Tribolium castaneum: one gene and its partners. The protein of the gene in region 3 interacts with the protein of the main gene of each other region in a pairwise test. Links are inferred from orthologs where the notes say so. Each region holds a gene or a part of one and is shown on either strand. Other genes may lie near its edges. The genes, in order: gamma-aminobutyric acid receptor-associated protein, microtubule-associated proteins 1A/1B light chain 3C and Atg4a.

The links.
Region 1: the proteins of Atg4a (region 3) and gamma-aminobutyric acid receptor-associated protein interact in binary tests that used the Caenorhabditis elegans proteins (3 or more experiments, as listed by UniProt). The link is inferred for Tribolium castaneum from reciprocal best matches to the Caenorhabditis elegans genes atg-4.1 and lgg-1.
Region 2: the proteins of Atg4a (region 3) and microtubule-associated proteins 1A/1B light chain 3C interact in binary tests that used the Caenorhabditis elegans proteins (3 or more experiments, as listed by UniProt). The link is inferred for Tribolium castaneum from reciprocal best matches to the Caenorhabditis elegans genes atg-4.1 and lgg-2.

Annotation. Positions count from the first base shown.
Region 1 is NC_087401.1:11,663,500-11,666,327, reverse strand, and holds gamma-aminobutyric acid receptor-associated protein, read left to right. Parts: upstream 1-1,196; 5' UTR 1,197-1,234; coding exon 1,235-1,447; intron 1,448-1,625; coding exon 1,626-1,823; intron 1,824-1,870; coding exon 1,871-1,945; 3' UTR 1,946-2,279; downstream 2,280-2,828. Other genes in the region: uncharacterized protein LOC100141600, read right to left, coding at 1-219; RpL6 (large ribosomal subunit protein eL6), read left to right, coding at 2,539-2,598. UniProt on the Caenorhabditis elegans protein: Ubiquitin-like modifier involved in the formation of autophagosomal vacuoles (autophagosomes). When lipidated mediates tethering between adjacent membranes and stimulates membrane fusion during autophagy. Recruits lipidated-lgg-2 to maturing autophagosomes.
Region 2 is NC_087401.1:16,967,771-16,971,528, forward strand, and holds the start of microtubule-associated proteins 1A/1B light chain 3C, read left to right. Parts: upstream 1-1,101; 5' UTR 1,102-1,142; intron 1,143-3,758. Other genes in the region: Hcs (biotin--protein ligase), read right to left, coding at 271-421, 474-627, 683-844, 892-1,101. UniProt on the Caenorhabditis elegans protein: Ubiquitin-like modifier involved in the formation of autophagosomal vacuoles (autophagosomes). When lipidated mediates tethering between adjacent membranes and stimulates membrane fusion. Less effective at promoting membrane fusion than lgg-1.
Region 3 is NC_087398.1:5,532,545-5,536,302, forward strand, and holds Atg4a (cysteine protease ATG4B), read left to right. Parts: upstream 1-1,103; 5' UTR 1,104-1,252; coding exon 1,253-1,361; intron 1,362-1,406; coding exon 1,407-1,752; intron 1,753-1,805; coding exon 1,806-1,885; intron 1,886-1,930; coding exon 1,931-2,055; intron 2,056-2,101; coding exon 2,102-2,335; intron 2,336-2,389; coding exon 2,390-2,596; 3' UTR 2,597-3,200; downstream 3,201-3,758. Other genes in the region: protein takeout, read left to right, coding at 1-99, 148-431, 496-689; protein phosphatase 1L, read right to left, coding at 3,418-3,758. UniProt on the Caenorhabditis elegans protein: Cysteine protease required for autophagy. Cleaves the C-terminal amino acid of ATG8 family proteins lgg-1, to reveal a C-terminal glycine.

The DNA of each region.
Region 1 (2,828 bases), on a different chromosome or scaffold from region 3:
GAAATCCCTGATCCCCGATAAACTATAATGGCGGCTGCAGATAAACTCAGACCGAATTCGCATTATATTTGTGTTTTTTTGGATTGAATTTAAATACGTTAGGATTGTATTCATCCATTGCGGCCTTATTGCATAATATGCGACGTGGCTTAACTGAGTGGCGTATCTACAAGAGCAAGAGGGGATGCAACATTTTACATCCAAACGTTCATTTGCCATGTAATAGCAAAATAATAACGACTGCAAATAAATCACTGATTCACAATCGTTCTAAAGTTAGTTCTCACCCTTTGGGACTACAAATTGCAAGAAACGTCAGCCACTGCGAGGTTAGGTTTAATTCGCGCTCGGCCACCAGGTGTCGTCAAGAAAAAAACAACATCCATAGAAGTAACAAATTGAGAACACTTATTCTAATTTTCCAAAAAATTATTTAAAAAAATAAATACTGTTTATGTTAATGTGTCCTATGTGATGCTACTAACAATAAATACAGGATGACCCAGGGGTGTGTAATCGGTCTATAACTTTTTTGATAATTAAGATATTACTATGCGTTTTTATTATCCGATAAATCGACTTAAAATCCACAATCTAAAAATATTTTTATTATGCTGAGGGTGTTGTACACCAAAGTTTTATTTTTTTCACGTATCGATAACATTTTTGATGAGCTCTCTAATTAATGTTAACTAAAAAAATACCATTTTTTTATCAAAACGACCCTGTATTTTAACGTCTTTTTAAAATGTTAGCGCGATTTTTATTATTAAAAGCCCAACTATCGTATGTTTTAAAGTTATTGGGTCGAATGGTGAACAACCAACATTACAAGACACTTTTTTTCTATTTTTCAGTAACGTTTTTATTTTTAACAAATTGATTGTCGTTTTTTCGCCAGTCACTGTGTGAGCCAAAACCATGATTTTGCCAACGTCCACTATTTCCTAACGTTGGGTTTCTTACGAGCTTTGCCCTAAAAATAAAATAAACTTAATTCAATGGACACAAAGAAAATAAGTTAGGTTACGTCATTGTCACATTTTAAATTTCCCGCGAACTCGGTTAGTCAAAACCCGGCTTTATTACCAATCAATCGCTCGATTCTCTTTGCAGTAATGTAATTTTAATTGTATTTATTGACTGTATGATACTACGATATCAGTGATTAGTCATTCCTTTGCGGCAAAACCAAATTAGTTGATTTTCGCCTCGTTATCGGTTGTTGTTTTGGATGCGCAGTAGAGGAAGTTATTGCGATCGATTGTTTTGTGTCATAACAAGCAAAAGTGACCAAAGTGAACAAACGTATCGAAACCTTGTCAACGGCCCAAATTCCTGTGTCAAAACCCTCAAAATGAAATTCCAATACAAAGAAGAGCACCCGTTTGAGAAGAGAAAGTCCGAGGGCGAGAAAATCCGCCGAAAGTACCCCGACAGGGTCCCCGTAAGTATCTGCGTCATTGCACCCAAACAAAGAAGCGCCCCGTCCAGAGCCCCAAATTGGGGCCAAAGCCCCCGTTCCTAGCCCCATTTTCCCCGATTTCACCACACGTCGTCATTTGTTTTGTTTTTACGAAAATGGCGTATCAAGGTCACGTGATGTCAATTGTTTTCGTAATCAGGTGATCGTCGAAAAAGCCCCCAGGGCCCGAATTGGTGATTTGGACAAGAAGAAATATTTGGTTCCGTCGGATTTGACCGTGGGACAGTTTTACTTTTTGATTAGGAAACGGATCCATTTAAGGCCCGAGGATGCGTTGTTTTTCTTTGTAAATAACGTCATTCCGCCCACTTCGGCCACCATGGGCTCGCTCTACCAGGTTGGTAGCACTGGTGTGTGATCTAGGGGATTTACTCACGGTTTTAGGAGCATCACGAAGAGGACTTTTTCTTGTACATTGCTTACTCTGATGAAAACGTTTACGGAAGCGAGGAGCTCTAATTTAGCAACAAATGAAATTTTTATAAATCTCTGATTACAATAAAGCACCGGTAAAAGTTTAACATTTATTTTATATTACTTATAAGGCTTTTGTTTGTCTGAGTGGCGACTTTTTCTAATTGTGATAGTTGTATTGTTTATTTTTATCTTCTGATAGGGCTGAATATTCTAACACTTTTGAGTTGAATGTTACGGAAGCGCTGCTATGAAAGGAAGACGTTTCATCACAAATTTAATAAACTGATATTTAATTTTTGATGGAATTACGAAAGTATTAGATTAGGTATGTAAAAGAGATGATGTAGTTATCTAAATAAAAATATTTAAAAACCAAGACTTTTTAGTTATTATTTGTTTGCAAAAACTTCGTGAAATTGTTATCATTGTGTTAACAATTCAAATTTTTGGTGGTGTCCTTTGTTTTGTTGGGTTTTCCCCAACTGTGTAAATTTATTCTATTTTAATGGTGAAAAGCCGATCCTTAGGCCACTAACTAGTGCACATATAACTAAAGAACTAATTTTAGTGTTAAATACGATAACGAAAGTGCAATATTTTCCCCATTTTAGGAATTAAGAACGCATTTCAATTTTATGTTGGTAGTGACAAAATCACTAGCAGCGCCATCTCCTTTCACCGCAACATCTGCAAAGGTGAGTGTCTTCGAAGTGAATTTTTACAAAAATCCACAATCATCGTCCATTTTTCGTTACTTTTTTGCCCCAAAACCTTTTCTAAAACAATCGTCGGCTCATTTAAAACCCAAATCTAGTGTTATTTCAGTGAAATTGTGCCGAAAAAACATTTTGTGAGGTTATTCGTAAAAGTGTCAATACACCGTCTTACATCCGTAAAATGCCTTTAAAGTGATGATTTTATTTGC
Region 2 (3,758 bases), on a different chromosome or scaffold from region 3:
CCGAATACAACAACTTGATTGAAAATTTTACTTACCTACCAATCAATAAAAAAAATTCTCAAGGCCACAATAATAAAAAATTGATGTTAAAAGTATGCCTACTTGACGTAAAATTGTCTGAGGGATCCAAAACTGTCTTGATTTTTGTTCTACGATTCGTAGTTTTGGAGATATTAGACGAAATATGATTAGTTTTAATTTTTACCAAAAAAAATTTTTTATTTACACATGTTTGAAGTGACTTTCCCCAACAATTAATAAAAAACCTACGTGGTAATGTCGCGTATTTTCGAGTACAAGTCCTTGACTTCTTGCACGAATTTCCCCCAATGAACTGGAGCATATGAATATTTCAAAGTTTGTTCTTTGAGATATTTTTTCTCGTATTTGATGACAGTGGGTGTATTTTCAACATCAACAGCTAAAAATAAACACACGACAAACAATAAACCCCCAAAACTCATTCCCCATACTTTCAATTTTAAGTAACTTTAATTCATGGTTAATATCAACATCGCTTTGGCTAAACTGATTGACCAGCTTAGTCAAATGATCCATGTCTGTTTTAACCACAACTTCGAACGAATCGCTCGCTTTCCAACCGATCAGTTCGCCAAAATGCTCAACCTGAAAGCCCCAACTTAAGCCTATAATATAAGTCAAGCAGTCGTAACCACCTTACTTGAATAATCTCACTCTGATGTTTAACATAATTGTCTAAAACGGCCTGAAGGAGGAGAAAAATTTGGGGCCGACTAACACTGATTTTATTGTCGTCGATAAAAATCGGGAAGTATCTTAGATTTTTCGGAAATGCGATCCATTGACTTAAGTTTAGTTTTTGCTGGAAATTATTGTGATTTTTTTTTTCAACAAATTAAACGACAGTACCTTAGGCACAACTGTGCACGCGATCCTATTCTCAGTACTGTACAATAAATTCTCCAAACTTCGCTGTTTTCTGCTATCGTGCACCGAATGCCCAGAACAGACAAGCAAGGCATTTTGATCGTTTAGTGTTCCGTTGAGTTTGTTGCGTAAAGTTCGGAGACGCCACCACTGCATTATGGTGGCGTAGGCATAATATAAAGTAAAGATCATTATGTTTTATGCCTCCATTGCACCTAAAACAAAAATATTCGGTAAGTTACAAAAACCAAAAAAATTTATTTTAACTTTAAATTCCAGAAAAACTACTCAGAGACTGGAATTTCCAATTAATTTCTTTTTTTTACGACTTTAATTGCTCCAAATGTCACACTAATAATTTAAAAAGTGGAGAAAAAACAAAGAGAATACAAATGTAAGTTTTTTCAAAAAAAAATATAAGTTAGAAAAAATTAACAGAAACTGGCCTAAAACGACTCGTAGCCCTCTTTAGTACTTAATTATCTGTTACTGAACAAAATTTGGTAAAAATCGAGCCATAAATGCGCAAATAATATAGATAAAACAACTTAGTCAAAATTTTTACTTATCTACCTAACAATAAAAAAAATTCTCAAGGCAAAATAATTAAAAATTCGTGTTAAAATTACGTTTACTTGACGTAAAATTGACTGAGGATTCCGAATCTGTGTTTATTTTTGTTCTACGACTCGTAGTTTTGGAGATAATTGACGAAATATGCTTGGTTTTAATTTCTCCAATCAACAACAAAATTTAAAAAAAATTAAAATAAACAGAAATTGCCCTAAAACGAAACGTAGCACCGTTTAGTAGTTAGTAACCTGTTTCTGAACAAAATTTTGTGACAATCGAACCACAATTGTGTAAATAATCCGATTAAAACAACTTGGTCAAAATTTTTACTTACTTACAAATCAATAAAAAAAAATCTCAAGGCCACAATAATTAATAATTAATGTAAAAAATATGCCTACTTGACGTAAAATTCTCCGAGGATTCCAAATCTGTCTTTATTTTTGTTCTACGACTCGTAGTTTTGCAGATAATAGACAATATATGGTTGATTATAATTTTTCCAACAAAAAAATTAAAAAAATTAAAATAAACCGAAATTGGTAAAAAACGATTGATAGACCTTTTAAACAGTTCATTATCTGTTTCTGGGCAAAATTTTGTGGCAATTGAGTGACAATTCCGCAAAATAAGCCGAATAAAAGAACTTGGTCAAAATTTTTACTTACCTACCTATCATTAAAAAAAATTCTCAAGACCACAATAATTAAAAATTCATGTTAAAGGTAAGTTTTCTTGACGTAAAATTGTCTGAGGATTCCAAATCTGTCATTATTTTTGTTCTACGATTAGTAATTTTGGAGATAATGAACGAATTATGGTTGATAATCATTTTTCCAAAAAAAAAAAAATTAAAAAAATTAAAATAAACCGAAATTGGTAAAAAACGATTCATAGCCCTTTTAAACAGTTCATTATCTGTTTCTGGGCAAAATTTTGTGACAATCGAGTGATAATTGCGCAAAATAAGCCAAATAAAATAACTTGGTCAAAATTTTTACTTACCTACCTATCATTAAAAAAAAATCTCAAGGCCACAATAATTAAAAATTCATGTTAAAGGTAAGTTTTCTTGACGTAAAATTGTGTGAGGATTCCAAATCTGTCATTATTTTAGTTCTACGATTAGTAGTTTTGGAGATAATGAACGAAATATGATTGGTTTTAATTTTTCCAATCAACAACAAAATTTAAAAAAAAAAAAAAATAAACAGAAATTGGCCTAAAACGAAACGTAGCACCGTTTAGTAGTTAGTAACCTGTTTCTGAACAAAATTTTGTGACAATCGAACCACAATTGTGTAAATAATCCGATTAAAACAACTTGGTCAAAATTTTTACTTACTTACAAATCAATAAAAAAAAATCTCAAGGCCACAATAATTAATAATTAATGTAAAAAATATGCCTACTTGACGTAAAATTCTCCGAGGATTCCAAATCTGTCTTTATTTTTGTTCTACGACTCGTAGTTTTGCAGATAATAGACAATATATGGTTGATTATAATTTTTCCAACAAAAAAATTAAAAAAATTAAAATAAACCGAAATTGGTAAAAAACGATTGATAGACCTTTTAAACAGTTCATTATCTGTTTCTGGGCAAAATTTTGTGGCAATTGAGTGACAATTCCGCAAAATAAGCCGAATAAAAGAACTTGGTCAAAATTTTTACTTACCTACCTATCATTAAAAAAAATTCTCAAGACCACAATAATTAAAAATTCATGTTAAAGGTAAGTTTTCTTGACGTAAAATTGTCTGAGGATTCCAAATCTGTCATTATTTTTGTTCTACGATTAGTAATTTTGGAGATAATGAACGAATTATGGTTGATAATCATTTTTCCAAAAAAAAAAAAAATTAAAAAAATTAAAATAAACCGAAATTGGTAAAAAACGATTCATAGCCCTTTTAAACAGTTCATTATCTGTTTCTGGGCAAAATTTTGTGACAATCGAGTGATAATTGCGCAAAATAAGCCAAATAAAATAACTTGGTCAAAATTTTTACTTACCTACCTATCATTAAAAAAAAATCTCAAGGCCACAATAATTAAAAATTCATGTTAAAGGTAAGTTTTCTTGACGTAAAATTGTGTGAGGATTCCAAATCTGTCATTATTTTAGTTCTACGATTAGTAGTTTTGGAGATAATGAACGAAATATGATTGGTTTTAATTTTTCCAATCAACAACAAAATTTAAAAAAAATTAAATAAACAGAAATTGGTCTAAAACGAAACGTAGCACTGTTTAATAGTTAGTTACCTGTTTC
Region 3 (3,758 bases):
AGTCACCGTAAGTAAGGGCTCGGGCGCTATCACGCTCACTGGAGGGCTCTACGATTTGGTCGTGTCTGGCCCTTCGAATTCCACGCCGACTTACACCGAGTAAGAATTAGGGAAATAAAAAACCGTTTTTGTAAAAAATATATTCAGATTTGACGAAGCCAAGAAAACGTGGAATTTCGGCCTAACTTTACCACTACTCTCTATCAAATCTCAATACAACCTCAAGGGAAAAATCCTGGTTTTGCCCTTAGTGGGACACGGGGCCTGTGACCTGAAATTGTCAAATGTGCAAACTAAGGTCACCACCACCGTGGATTTCCCGCTCCGGGAGGGTCGCGAAGTTGTGAAAATTGACAAAATGCAGGTGGACTTTAAAGTTGGAGGGATGAAAGTGAAACTTTATAATCTCTTCAACGGAAATAAAGTTTTAGGTGAGTGGTTTCTACTCCGGTATATTTTTTATTATTTATTTATTTATTTTATTTTTTGTTTCAGGCCAGACTGTTAACCAGTTTATCAACCAAAATGCGCTAGAAATCATCGGAGAGCTGAAAGATAGCATTGGTGATAGCTTGGCTGGTATTTTCACCGACATCATGAACAACGTTTTTACTAAAATGCCGACTGATCTTTGGTTCTTGAGCGATGAAGAATACGAAAAATATCAGAAAGAATCAAATAGCAAGTAGAATAATGCGTCTTAATAGTGATATGTTTGGATGTGACCTAATGCTAGTGCTATTCGAGATCGGCAGTACAAAATTTAGCTTAAACTTTTAATTCTCTTTATGTTAGGTTTTTCTTGATTAGCATGCGTATTATTTCCAAACAAGCTTTGTTGTTGTATGTTTTTTAAACAATAAAAATTTAGCTGTATACGTGTGTTTTAATTGAGTAATGAGTTCAAAATATTTTTGGAAAATGACATGAAACACTCTGTAAATGAAAACATCTAACATGTTAGGCAACCAGTTATGTTACCTATCAAGTTTACATTACAAAATTAATTAAAAAAGTACAATATAGACTGGTGATAATAAACAGAAATGAGTGGTTTCTGCGTGTGATAAACGTGATTAAAAATAGAAAAAGCCAAATTTTTCGTTCACTTGACACATCAGCTGTTGTTTGACACCAAGATGGCGATCTGACATTAAAAATGAAAACAAACCGTGGAAAACAGTGATTCCTCAAAACTCGCTTACGATTTGCCAATTTAACGTTAAATCCATGAATATCCCCTTTCGTGACAATGGACGGCATGTTCGAACTATACCTAGACGGGAGCATTGAGCCCGATGACATCCCCCATACTGCAGACCCCGTCTACATCCTAGGCAAGAAGTACAACGCACTCCAAGGTAACGCCTTTTCTGTGCGTAGTCGCGACCTAACACCCTGTCTAGAATTGGACACGATCCGCCAAGACATTCTCTCGAAAATCTGGTTCACGTATCGGAAAAATTTCGTTCCAATTGGGGGCGACGAAGGTCTCACCACTGACAAGGGCTGGGGCTGCATGCTACGATGCGGCCAGATGGTTCTGGCGCAAGCCTTGGTCACGCTGCATCTGGGCCGAGACTGGGTCTGGGAGCCCGAAACCAAAGACTCCACTTATCTCAAAATACTTAGCAAATTTGTAGACAAGAGACAAGCGCCGTTTTCCATACACCAGATTGCCATGATGGGGGTGTCGGAAAACAAGGAAGTGGGGCAGTGGTTTGGACCCAACACTGTGGCCCAAGTCTTGAAGTAATAACAAAGTCCAATTAGTGATTAAACGGTGTTAAATGTTTTATTTGCAGGAAGTTGGTAAAGTATGACGAGTGGAGTGCAATTGAGATGCACATAGCGTTAGATAATACACTTATTATTAGCGATATAAGTAAGTGAGAGTTGGGGTTGGAGTGGTTTTGATGGTGGTTTTCAGGAGAGTTGTGCTTAAGTCAGGGGAGTGACGGTTGTAGCAGTGGGGACTGGAAGCCGTTGCTACTTATTGTGCCTTTAAGATTGGGACTGCAAGAAATTAATCCTATTTATGCTAGTGGATTAAAGGTAACAACGAGTGTGGGAAGAAATCTGTTACACCTTGTTTTTTTAGAAATGTTTTCAGTTCAAACAAAGCCTGGGTGTGATCGGTGGCAAACCGAACCTGGCGCTGTATTTCATAGGACATGTAGGAGACGAAGTAATATATCTAGACCCGCACACGACGCAGAAATCCGGTTCCGTGGAAAGCAAAGAAACGGAAGAAGAAATCGAGCTGGATTCCACCTACCACTGTAAATACGCTTCTAGAATAAACATACTCAGCATGGATCCCTCAGTGGCTGTGGTAAACAAATACATCAATTCAAAACAAACAGTTCTAACTCGGGAACAATTTCAGTGCTTTTTCTGCAACACTGAAGGCGAGTTCAACGATTTGTGTCACTCGATCAAGAAAGACCTCATCGAGCCCGAAAAACAGCCGCTATTCGAAATCACTTATGAGAAACCCAAACAGTGGACGCCGACGCTGGACGACGCCGTGGAGGCTGCCGATTTCGAGCTATCCGGAGAGTACGATTCCGAGCACGAATTTGAAATTTTGTAACAATTTTCTCATTTAACTCAGTTTTTATTGTCGCAAATTGTGGATAGAGGCCCGCAAATTGTAAATATTTTTCTTACTCATACTTGTTTCTGTACATAGTGCATTTACCGAGGGGCGCCACTCGAAATGTTTTAACGCTGCCGGTGCCAAAAATATCGACTTATTTTGTACATAAATGACGCCGATATGTTTCGTGTAAAGCTTTGTATTTTTCACCATAATTGTGGGTCTGTGTTTTGTAACGAAGCGGGCGAACAGTCGTCGCACACGACAAATAATCCTGCATTATGTTATGCCTTGACAAATAAAAAGTGAAATCAATCTCGATGCCACCAAAACATTTATTATTAGTAGTAGTTCATAAACATTTTATTTAGATAATTGATTTTTATATTATAACCTTTATCATAAATAGACTTTAAAAAAAAGTTCTGACGGAACGACCAGACCTTAGCAGTATACTCTATAATGCTGTAAATAAATGGTTCCGTAGTTTTGTTCCCCGTGTATAATCCACAATCAGTTAATATAGTGCGGGATTTATTTGTAAATAAAAATGTACCGTTGGCAATTGAAGGAAAATAAAGAGAGCCATCGTTTTAAATCGTTTTTTATTGTATACATCGAGAAAAAAGATCAACAAACCTTACAGCCATTTTTAGAGTAATAGTTCTTTGAAACTTAAAACAACACGTAATCAACATGAATCGACTCGCGGGCCTCACCGGCCGCCAGAATCGGTAAAAAATTTAATCAACACGAAATGGCCTAGACTAAACCGCAGGTACAAATCTCAGCTAACTTGAGCAAAACCCCGCTTCCTAAGCGCTCTTCTCCGCACTGTGGAAGCTAAAGGCGTTATCTCTGAAATTAATCACGATAACGGTGATATTATCCAAAGAACCGCGATAATACGACTGTAAAGTTAAGCTTTTCGCACCATAATCGGGTTCGTTCAGTCGTTCTTTAATAAAACTGATCGCTTCTTCGTTCGAGAAAGTGTCCCACAATCCATCGGAAGCCAAAATCACAAACATCGGCTTGTGGTCGTTTAAATCGAACGTGAGAATATCCGGATCGGCGATGACTAATTTCTTGTCTTTGAGCGGGTAATCCCCGAGCGCTCTGGACGTGGCTAAGATGCCGGCCACCCTCCAGACGC